Oryctolagus cuniculus: one gene and its partners. The protein of the gene in region 1 interacts with the protein of each later gene in a pairwise test. Links are inferred from orthologs where the notes say so. Each region holds a gene or a part of one and is shown on either strand. Other genes may lie near its edges. The genes, in order: SH3YL1, GFAP and SH3D19.

The links.
Region 2: the proteins of SH3YL1 (region 1) and GFAP interact in binary tests that used the Homo sapiens proteins (3 or more experiments, as listed by UniProt). The two-hybrid records come from large-scale screens. The link is inferred for Oryctolagus cuniculus from reciprocal best matches to the Homo sapiens genes SH3YL1 and GFAP.
Region 3: the proteins of SH3YL1 (region 1) and SH3D19 interact in binary tests that used the Homo sapiens proteins (3 or more experiments, as listed by UniProt). The link is inferred for Oryctolagus cuniculus from reciprocal best matches to the Homo sapiens genes SH3YL1 and SH3D19.

What each region holds. Positions count from the first base shown.
Region 1 is NC_091433.1:199,902,265-199,905,908, forward strand, and holds part of SH3YL1 (SH3 domain-containing YSC84-like protein 1), read left to right. Parts: intron 1-1,853; coding exon 1,854-1,964; intron 1,965-3,644.
Region 2 is NC_091448.1:18,168,046-18,172,181, reverse strand, and holds the start of GFAP (glial fibrillary acidic protein), read left to right. Parts: upstream 1-1,229; 5' UTR 1,230-1,250; coding exon 1,251-1,711; intron 1,712-2,566; coding exon 2,567-2,627; intron 2,628-2,835; coding exon 2,836-2,931; intron 2,932-3,502; coding exon 3,503-3,664; intron 3,665-4,136.
Region 3 is NC_091439.1:13,490,897-13,494,540, forward strand, and holds part of SH3D19 (SH3 domain-containing protein 19), read left to right. Parts: intron 1-1,418; coding exon 1,419-1,605; intron 1,606-1,997; coding exon 1,998-2,095; intron 2,096-3,644. UniProt on the Homo sapiens protein: May play a role in regulating A disintegrin and metalloproteases (ADAMs) in the signaling of EGFR-ligand shedding. May be involved in suppression of Ras-induced cellular transformation and Ras-mediated activation of ELK1.

The DNA of each region.
Region 1 (3,644 bases):
CGCCGCAGGCAGAGGATTAGCCTAGTGAGCCGCGGCGCCGGCCCAATGCACGTTTTTAAATGAGCAAAAGCTTGAACACATGCTTAGAACAAAATACAGAGGTAAGCACCAGGAAGGGTGTTTCCCTCCTCGCCCAGGAGATGAGAATGAAATCCACCCTGAGTTGCCACCACGGCAGAAACTGGCGTGGAAAGCCTGGCCTTGCAGAGAGCTGGCAAGGATGTGGAGTAACCAGATCTCCCAGAAGTTCTGGTTGGCCTGTGATAGGCAGTCACTTCAGGTAGCTCCTGGTGGCTTTTGATACCAGTGCACTTACACGTCCAGGAACCAGCCATCCTAGCCTGGAGACCTCCCCCGGAGACAAAACAGTGATGCACAGAAGATTTTATGGGAATGTTTGCAGAATTTCTTCACGATAGCCAAAAACTAGAAGCTGCCAGTTGTCCATCGGGTGGCTCAGCTCACCCTGTGTGTGGAGGACGCTCAGCACAGGCACAGCAAGCCGGATGGAGAAGAATCAGTTTCCTTGTATTCCTGTGAAATCCTGGCACAGACAAAACCAACACAGGTGACAGACACCAGATCCATAGCTGGTGAGGCCGGGGTGGCTGCACAGGGGCCCAAAAGAAACAGTTTTGCTGGGGGAGGGGCCTGTGTCAGGTACTTGTCCCAGCTTGTGGGGTGTGCACTGCGTGAAACAGGTGAATTGCATTTTGTAAATTATGTCTCGTGAAGTTGATCATAAAAGTCTACCCTGAGAGCCAATATTTTAACTTCCCTGAAAGAAAGTTGAGTAAAATCTGTGAAGTGCCAATACACTAGTGGTGTAACCTAGACAGGAAAGGAACACTGTGTACTCTGCAGGCACCCGGCATTTGTGCAAATGAGCGCCTGTGCCCTGGCCAGCACCCTCGCGGATTTGTGGGATCCATTCTCTGGGGGCCTGAGTCCTGCCGATGCTCCCGTGTTGAACCACAGAGAATTGATGCAGAATTCTTCTTTTTAAAAAACCACACAATTCCAATATGACCCTTGTCCAGTTTCTACTTTTAAAATAAATCACCTATTTCAAACATAGCAAGCTCCAAAATGCATCATGTTTTCCTGTTAGAAATCCCATTCTTTCCTGTGTGCTGCAGTTGTTCAGGCTTCTCAGCCCAACTTCCTTCAGCACCTGCCCAGGTGACACTTCCCGTCCGGAGGCCTGCGTGCTCCTCTGACTGCAGACCTGAGCCGGGGCTCCTCTGACCCCCTGTCCAGTGTGCCTCAGAGCTGCCAGCCTTGTGCCAGCCTTGTGCCAGCATCGCACTGAGGTGATTCAGCGTAGGTGGGCAGCACTGGGAATGCACACTGCCCCCGGACTGCAGGCGGCCGTTACTTGCAGTAAACGATGCCTGAGTGCGCTAAGCAGGTGACCTGCAGCCAGTCCAAACACGTGCAATGAGAGTAAGCAGCCATATTGAACCCTGTTTTATCTGTAATAGATAACTGTAAAAAAGCATCTTCTGTTACGTTTAAAGCTTTAATCTTTTTAACTTGCTCTTCAGGTGAATTAATGACAGGGAGAAGAAAGACTGGGGCAGTTGTGTCAGATTTTGTTTAAAATCTTTCACAATCCCAGGATTTTGTGACTTCTGAGATTTCTAAGACTTTAGGGTTTCTGAGCCTCAGAATAGATTTGGAAAGTAGGGGTGAAATTGTCAGTAGCTGAGGACTTTCTAGTTCATTTCCTTTACTTGGTAAAATACAATTTGTTAGTGATTATTATGTGTGAGAAAATATAGTTACAATAAATTTCTAACTTCTGCTTAGTGGATTTTTTATTAAAATGTGTTTTTTTTTTCATCTTTCAGTGAATAATCCCATTCCTTCCAATTTGAAATCAGAAGCAAAGAAGGCTGCTAAAATACTAAGAGAATTCACAGAAATAACTTCCAGAAATGGACCCGATAAGATCATTCCTGGTAGGTAAATTTCCGAGCGTGTCTGGATTTCTGAATCGCTCCCTTCCTTCCCTCAGCCTCACTCCTAGCTGGCAGCTGACCCCAGGGACAGCAGGGGTTCCCAGAGGCCTCTTCTCTCTCCTGGGGTGGGGCAGCTGGGACTCGCCCCTCCACCCGGACCCCCATTCCTGCTTCACCTTGGCCTCCCTGCGGAGAGCTTTACAAGCAAATCTTCAACCTCGCCAGCTCGTCTCATACATAAGTGTTCATTTTTGTTTTCTCCTTCCAAGTAAGATATTTACATTTCTACAGTGGTTTAGAGGAGATTAGTCAAGAATTCCCAGCACAGCTGCACCTCTGAAATCTTCAGGTCCTTAGAACACAGTCCCAGAACCCATTCCAAACCTGAGGGTGGGACTCAGAGCCCTGTGACCAGGGATGCAAGTTGTAACCAGGTGCTCCAGTGCTGGTGACAGCGGGGTGGTCCACACAGCCTGGCCTTGGGTGCTGGTGACAGCGGGGCTGGTCCACACAGCCTGGCCTTGGGTGCTGGTGACAGCAGGGTGGTCCACACAGCCTGGCCTTGGGTGCTGGTGACCAGCGGGGTGGTCCACACAGCCTGGCCTTGGGTGCTGGTGACAGCGGGGTGGTCCACACAGCCTGGCCTTGGGTGCTGGTGACAGCGGGGTGGTCCACACAGCCTGGCCTTGGGTGCTGGTGACAGCGGGGTGGTCCACACAGCCTGGCCTTGGGTGCTGGTGACAGCGGGGTGGTCCACACAGCCTGGCCTTGGGTGCTGGTGACCAGCGGGGTGGTCCACACAGCCTGGCCTTGGGTGCTGGTGACAGCGAGGTGGTCCACACAGCCTGGCCTTGGGTGCTGGTGACCAGCAGGGTGGTCCACACAGCCTGGTCTTGGGTGCTGGTGACCAGCAGGGTAGTCCACACAGCCTGGCCTTGGGTGCTGGTGACCAGCAGGGTAGTCCACACAGCCTGGCCCAGAGTGCGGCTTTGGAACTGCCTCTGCAGGCCGTGTTTCATAGAGTGCACCTCTCATGCAGATTACCTTGGGCAGTGTCACGGGCTAATTTCCCTCTTGGGTAATCACAGTGCGTGACTTAAAGAGATCTCTTAAGTTGTCCCGGTCGGGATCTCTGAAGTTGTTTTTCAGAGCTTCACAAGATCTTAATGCTTTGTGGACGCCCGGGTCTGAGTTGCAGTGACGAGAGCAGCAGCTATGGTTCCGTGGGCCCAGCCAGCTCCCCCGTCTGAGCAGCGCTTCCTGGGGCTTCTGCTCCAGTGCAGGGGGCGCCTCCCTGGCAGCCTCTGCCTTTCCCTCAGGGTCCCCGTGAGCCGCACGCACCCAGCACTTGAGAGGCACAGATTTGGAGCCTGAAGAAAATTCAGCCAGAATTTAGCAGTTTTCTGAAACAGGGATTAGTGCGTCAGGAACCGTCTGCATGTTGGCCTTGCAGCCTCAGACACGTGCTGTTTTGTAACATGAGAAAATGGCTGCACTCGTGGATTTTGTGGAGCCAAATTCTACTTTGCCTTCCTGTGCCCAGCAAAGGCCCCTGCACTCCCTTCCGGGGCTCACACCTCACAGTCTGGGGCACAGGATGGGGGCGGGAGCCCCAGGGCTGCCAGGTCGGGGAGGGGCCTCACGTACAGTACACTGCAGGAGATGGACGGGTGACAGCAG
Region 2 (4,136 bases), on another chromosome or scaffold:
TGGGGGGGCAGCCAGGCTTTTCTGCAAGTGGGGCCTTTCCTCCCTGCCCGCTGAGTGACTCACCTTGGCACAGACACAATGGTCAGGGCGGGCACCCGGCCTGCACCCCGCTGCACCCCAAGTCCCCGCAGATGCTTTCCGAGAAGTGCATTGAGAAGGGGCTGTGCTGCACCCCCCCCCGCCCCGGCCTGACAGCCTGGCATCGTGGGATAAAAGCAGCACAGCCCCCTGGGGGCCGCCCTTGCCGTGCAGCGCCCTCCCCGGCGCCAGAGAACAAGGCTCTGTTCAGCAAGTGCCCGGAAGACGGGCCAGAGGGGCAGGGGTGGCGGGGAGGCTGCAGGGGGGAGTCTGCTTCCCAGAAGTCCCAGGACACAGACGACGAGGGGCCTGGCGGGCTCCGGCCCTGTGCGAGCAGAGTGGAGGGGTGAATGGACCTGAAGCTCAAGGACAGCGGGGTCCTGGCCCCAGCCCCTTGCCCCCCTGCATGCCCCAGTGGCTTCTGGGTCCCCAGAGCCACCCAGCCTGGGATGCCTTTTCCGTCTTCTCTGCCTGAAGCTTCGGAACGCAAAGGAGATTAATCTCGAGTGGGAGAGTGAGGGCCGCCAGGGAAACAGAAACAGAGCTTCCCACGGGCCAGCCAGCTCATTCGTAACTGCTTTGTAGAGCTGTCTGGGAGGCCAGGGGAGGCGGGCGAGACCGCGGGAAAGGGGCTGCCCATCTGCCCCAGCCAGCCCGCCACACTCCCTCACTCCCTCGCTCGTCCCCTGCTCCATGAGACACTGCAGACAAAGAGCCGGGGGTGGGGGGGGCCAAGCCTGCAGGCCGATCCCAGGAAGAGGGAGAAGGCTGGACCATGGGGTGGCCGTGTTCAGATGGGGGATGCCAGGTGCGTGCTGGGGCTGGGGCTTTTCCTGGCCTGCACGGCCCGTCTGTGCTTCATTAAATTTAAGGCAGGCCCTCTAGGATGGAGGCCTGGGTGAGCGCTCAGAGCTCTGGAAAGCAGGTCCTGCCCCTTCCTAACCCACCTTCCCAGAGAAAGGGTCTCCCCGCTCAGAAGTCAGGGCTTCAGGCCCAGGCAGCACAGCCCCGGCCAGGAAGCAGCGCCCTCACCCTCGGTGGGGAGAGAGGAGCGCATCCCATGGCTGGGCTGCAGCCCAGCCCCACCCTCTCAGGCTATGCCAGGGGGCGTTGCCCCTCCAGCCAAGGCTCCATAAAGCCTGCAGCCCAGGAGTCGGCAGAGCTGGGCCAGGATGGAGCGGAGACGCATCGCCTCTGTTGCTCGCCGCTCTTACACCTCCTCTGCCGAGATGGTGCTGGGGGGCTCAGCGCCCGGGCGCCGCCTGGGGCCCGGCGCCCGCCTCTCCCTGGCCCGAACATCTGTTCCACTCCCGGCCCGGGTGGACTTCTCGCTGGCCGGCGCACTCAATGCCGGCTTCAAGGAGACCCGGGCCAGTGAGCGAGCCGAGATGATGGAGCTCAATGACCGCTTTGCCAGCTACATCGAGAAGGTTCGCTTCCTGGAGCAGCAAAACAAGGCGCTGGCCGCCGAGCTCAACCAGCTGCGGGCCAAGGAGCCCACCAAGCTGGCCGACGTCTACCAGGCTGAGCTGCGGGAGCTGCGGCTGCGGCTCGACCAGCTCACGGCCAGCAGCACCCGGCTGGAGGTGGAGAGGGACAATCTGGCGCAGGACCTGGGCACCCTGAGGCAGAAGTGAGGACTGGGCACAGGGACCGGGCCCGCAGGCGGGGAGGGAACGGCTGCTGCCTGCAGAGTCCAGGACAATGGGGCTCTGCCCCACTGCTCCCTCAATTCCCCTCCCTTTGCTCTCCAGCCCGATGGGAGGGTCTCAGGGACCCTCAGCACCTCCCCACTGGGGAAGCCGAGCCAGCAGCCAGGGGCCCGGACTGTGTGGTTCCTTCACTGGGCCTTGGGACCACAGTTGTGGAGCTCATCTATTCTAACCCCCCCCGGGGGGGGGTCTCTCTAAAGAAGGAACTGGAAGAGAAGCTGGGGTCCCTGCGGAGGATTGGGTCTGGGGGACAGGAAAGAGTGGGCAGGCCTAGGTGCCAAGCACAGGTGACTGCCCTGGCCCGGGCTAGTGACCCCAGTGGAGTTGCTCTGCCCCCCCCCCCCCCCCGCAGCTGGGAAGCAGAGAGCATCAGAAAACCCATTTGCAAAGGCAGTTCCCCGGGCTCGGAGGAAACCCCAGGGCCAGGGGCACGGGCCTTGCTGAGCCAGCAGGGCAGGTGTGCCCTCGAGGGCAGGGCGATGCATGTGTTTGCCCATGCGGAGCAGGTAGACGCTCGTGGACGCGCCTGTGTGAGCAGGAGCAGGTGCAGCGACCCTGGCAAGGCACTTGAGTAATGAGTTAAAGCCAAAGCCCTTGGCTGCTCACCCTCCGGGCCAAGGCCTCTGCAAAGGCCGTGGGTGGCCCTTCCTCCTCCTGTCACTCTGGGGCTGGGAGGGGTGTCTCTGAGCCAGTCACCCCAGGGAGGTTGGGGCAGGGGTCCAAGAGTCCTCTGAAGAGCCTGGACCCAGGAATTGTCTCCCCCACCCCCACCCCAGGCTCCAGGATGAGACTGAGCTGAGGATGGAGGCTGAAAACAACCTGACCACCTACAGACAGGTCAGAGGGGGGAGGGGAGGCGAGGGGAGGGGCATCAGAGGGGGAGGGGAGGGGCGGGGCAGCCCATCCAAAACACAGCCCCCAGCCCAGCCCAGCCCCCAGAACCATGTGCTGTTCCCCCATCCCAGGAGGAGGGGCGAGGCAAAGCCGGGCAATAGGGAAGAGGAGTCTGGGGTCAGAGTGGCCCTTTGCCCCCTCCACTCTCCAGGAGGCGGATGAAGCCACCCTGGCCCGCCTGGATCTGGAGAGGAAGATTGAGTCCCTGGAGGAGGAGATCCAGTTCCTGAGGAAGGTCCACGAGGAGGTGAGGACGGGCGGCGGGGGAGTGAGGACGGGCGGTGGGAGGGGTCCAACATGGGCCTGCGGCTGGGAGACAGACAGAGGAGGAGGGAAGCAGTTGTAAAAAAGCAGGAGTAAGCGCGAGAGAGCGCTCGACGCCAGCCTCTGTACACGGCCGCACTCCCTTTCTGAGAACAGGCCCGCACAGCCCCACGACACAGGGCCCTTCCAGAACCATCTACTTTTCACCGAGCACAGTGGGACCCAAGGGGCTAAAGAACATGCCAGGGTCACACGGTCAGTCCCTCTGCCTCTGTCTCCGGGAGAATGAGAGCCATCATGTATTTAAAGAAAAAAAAAATCCCTCTGCACGCTGACCTCAGAGCCGCGCATCAGAATCCTTGGCCCCAGGGGACCTGGCGACCCTCAGGGACATCCCTAGCCTCAGCTGGGCCACCTCCTCCCACAAGGGCTGCCCGGTTTCCCCTGGCCAACACCCACGGCTGAGAGACAGGCAGAAGCGGGTGCGATGCTGTGCAGAACCCCAGCCGCAGCCCGGGCGCTGAGCCGGGGACCCCTTCTCTCCCCCTGGCCAGGAGGTGCGGGAACTCCAGGAGCAGCTGGCCCAACAGCAGGTGCACGTGGAGCTGGATGTGGCCAAGCCCGACCTCACAGCAGCCCTGAGAGAGATCCGCACGCAGTACGAGGCAGTGGCGTCCAGCAACATGCACGAGGCCGAGGAGTGGTACCGCTCCAAGGTAGCCGGAAGCCGGCTTGCCTCCTCCAGGCAGCCCTCCTTGTTCTGTTCAAGAGAATGAAGCAAGGAGGGTAGAGGAATCTGGGTGGATGTGCCCTCTGGGTGACTGGCCTTCATCAGAGAAGCGAGATAACTTGCCTAGGGTGACACGGGCACAATTACTCCAAAAGTACTCACGTTATTATTGCTGCTGTTACTACTGTCAGCCAACATTGGGGCATGCCAGGCCACTCAGGAGCTGCATTCTCCTGCCAGTGTCCCGAGTTCCTGAGCATTCACCGCAATGCCAGGAGCCTCCTGGGGTACACAGAGGAGCCTGGCGGGGAGATGGGATGTGGACCCAAATATGACCCCACAGAGACCACAGCGCAGTGTTTCGAGGCAGTGTGGGACCCGGGAGAGATGTCATGGCGAAGTGGCATTGGGGCATTCGGGACAAGCAGACCATGGATGAGTGGATGGCGGGGCCTGTG
Region 3 (3,644 bases), on another chromosome or scaffold:
CTAGGTAGAAGCACCTGGATCCTGGCTTCGGATTGGTGCAGCGCTGGCCGCAGCGGCCATTTGGAGGGTGAATCAATGGAAGGAAGACCTTTCTCTGTCTCTCTCACTGTATAACTCTGTCAAATAATAATAATAAAAAAAAGACTTTCGGGCCAGCGCTGTGGCATAGTAAGTAAAATCGCCACCTGCAGCAGTGCCGGCATCCCATATGGGCACCAGTTCAAGTCCCAACCGCTCCACTTCCAAACCAGCTCTCTGCTATGGCCTAGGAAAGCAGTGGTAGATGGCCCAAGTCATTGGGCCCCTTCACCTGTGTGAAACCCAGAGGAAGCTCCTGGCTCCTGGCTTCGGATCGGCGTGGCTCTGGCCATTGCGGCCATCTGGGGAGTGAACCAGTGGGTGGAAGACCTCTCTCTCTCTCTCTCTGCCTCACCTTCTCTCTCTGTGTAACTCTGACTTTCAAATAAATAAATCTTAAAAAAAAAAAAAAAAGAAGAAGAAGCCTTCAGGATTTGAAATCTTATGACCCCTCACCTTTTTTTTCCTACCATTTTTTAAAAGGTTTTATTTATGTATTTATTTATTTGAAAGACAGTTGAGAGAGAGAGAGGGGTAGAGACAGAGAGAGAAGTCTTCCATCTGTTATGACCCCTTACCTTTTTTTTCCCACCATTTTTTAAAAGATTTTATTTATTTATTTATTTATTTGAAAGACAGAGTTAGAGAGAGAGAAAGGTAGAGACAGAGAGAGAGATCTTCCATCCATTGGTTCACTCCTCAGATGGTCACAACGGCCAGATCTGCACCGATCCAAAGCCAGAAGCTTCTTATGGGTCTCCCATGTAGGTACAGGGGCCCAAGGACTTGGGCCATCTTCCACTGTTTTCCCAGGCCATAGCAGAGAGCTGGATCAGAAGTGAAGCAGCCGCATCTTGAACCAGCGCCCATATTGGATGCCAGCACTGCAGGAGGCAGCTTTACCCGCTATGCCACTGCACCTGCCCCCCACCCACCCACATTAGACCTTGTAGGACTCAATTTTTTTTGTTGTTTTGTTTTTTTGTTTTGTTTTGTTTTGTTTTGTTTTGTTTTGTTTTGTTTTTTGAAGAGGGATACAAACAGAGCCCTCATCCACTAGTTCATTTCCTAGATGCCCACAACATTTGGGACTGGACCAGGCCAAAACCAGAAGCTGAGAATTCAGTCCAAACCTCCTGTGTGGGTGGCAGGAACCCAGTTACTGCAGACATCGCTGCCGCCGACCAGGGTTGTGTGCTGGCAGGAAGCTGGAGTCAGGTGCAGAGCTGGAACTGGAATCCAGGCCCTCCAGTGTGGGATTCTTTCGTCCTAAGATTCGTTTCTTCCCAAATGCCTGTCCCAGAGCTCACATTTCTTACCAGACCTGTGCTTTGTACCAGGGCGACAGTCTCTCTGGAGAATGGTGTGAAGCTCTGCACAGCTTTACCGCGGAGACCAGTGAGGACTTATCTTTCAAAAGGGGAGACCGGATCCTGCTCCTGCAGCGTCTGGACTCCGACTGGTACCGGGGCAGACTGCATGACAGAGAGGGCATCTTCCCAGCAGCCTTTGTGCGGCCTTGCCCAGGTATGACAGCTACACGACGCGGCTCTTACTCTAAAACAGCAGCCAGGGTGTTTGAAACTCATACATTCCTGTCTCTGGCTGTGCTAGTGTGTCTGTTGTTCTAAGAATTGGCTCATAAAGTTGTGCAGAGTTCATTCATATACTCCTTTGTTGGAGGTGTGGAAAAATATTGAAATGCCTTCACTAAACAGTGGCTAACTGTGTCTGTTAAATATATTTTGTATAATTTTTTTCCAACAAAGAGAGCATCCTTCACTTTTTTGCATGTTAAATAAATTCAAAATTAAATCAAAATATCATATTCCAAGAGTGACAAGAGAGGTTTGTAAAATGTTTGGTTTTTGTTTAATCTGTTGTGTCTCTGTATATTTGAATTTTTGGTGTCTTCACAGCTGAGGCAAAAAGTACGTCTGCTAAAGCACTGAAGGGGAGGAAGGCCAAAGCCTTGTATGATTTCCATGGAGAGAATGAAGATGAGCTCACCTTCAAGGTCAGAGCTTGAATCTTTATGTAACCATATTAAGCACTGTAAACTTGGAAATGTCTTTAATTGAAGGGTAGGGCATTGCAGTGGAATATTGATCATTACCTAAGAATAAAGATATCTCAGCCCTGCATTTTAAGGGAAGAGATGAAAGAAAATGAATAGGGTATATAAGGTTGATAATGCACATTATCAACTGGGCTTTAAGATACTTGAAGAAGACCTTGGCTTCAGAACCCACAACCCCAAGGTAATTCCTTGCTCCTTGGCCTTAAAATGTCAGCTCTTATTTACATGAACATGTTTGTGTGGTAGCCCTAGTAAGGATGGCCCTCAGAGCCTCTAACTTGTCTTTGAAATCAGTGGAGAAATCAAATGGCATCTGATAACCATCTGCCGCTGTAGTCTTAAGCAGCCTACACCGGATTGCTAAGGCAATCTTTAGAGATTGTAAAGGCCCTGACCAGAGCTTTGGGGAAATGGTCCCAACCAATTGAGCTGCTTTGCAAAGGTTTTCATTGTTTTATTAAAGAAGCCTAAAATTTAACGTTAATCTTACTTCACCAAGGTACCTCTTATTTTTTCTTAAAGCAGTAATAGAGTATTCTTATGATTCTGTTTCCCAGTCCATAGTCGGCCTGTAGTCAGAAAAAAGCACGTAGGGTAGTACTTTGAGATTGTGCTAGAGGAAGAGAAAGGGTGGTTTTCGTAATTACTGCTGTGAGTATAGCCTGTGTTACACCTTGGTAAATTCTCCATCAATGAAGATATTCAGTCCTAGGCAAGTATGATGTAGAAAGAACAAAAGCACCAGAGGTGGGGCAGGCATTTGATCTAAAGGTTAAGACACCCACATCTTGTACCAGAGAGCTTAGGTTCAAGTCCCAGCTCTGCTCCTGCCAATCTGAGTGTCCTGCTAATGTGAACCATGGAAGAGAGTAGTGATAGCTCAAGTAGTTGAGAGCAGGATCCAGTTTCCTGGCTTCTGTCCAGCACAGCCCTGCGTGTATGCAGAGTAAACCAGCAGATGGGAGCTCACTCTCTGTCTCTGTGTTTCTCTGTGTATGTCTCTCTGCCTCCCAAATAAATGAATAAAATTTTTTTAAAAAAATCTTAAGAGTGCTTGGACAAGATAAGACTTAAAATAGAACTAACAAGATTCTTACTTGGCTGTAAAAAAAAAAAAAAGAAAAGAAAACACGGAGGTACTGGGTAGGTGCAGGCTTTTGAGGGAGTCAGAGGAGGCTTACTGAGATAGGTCAGCGTACGATGTTCCTGTTCTATGATGGAGTTTCCCTTTATTGTGACAATATTCTTTTAGTTTTTATACTAAAATGTCATTTCTATTATAAAGTACTATAATGATTGTATAATACTGTTATAAATACATTTCCTATGCTCTGTACCAAATGAAAAGCTATTAGTAGATTCTTCAAAAAATTTTTCTAATGTCTTATTCCTTAAAACCTATAAGTTTGGGGCTGGCGCCGCAGCTCACTATGCTAATCCTCCGCCTTGCGGCGCCGGCACACCGGGTTCTAGTCCCGGTCGGGGC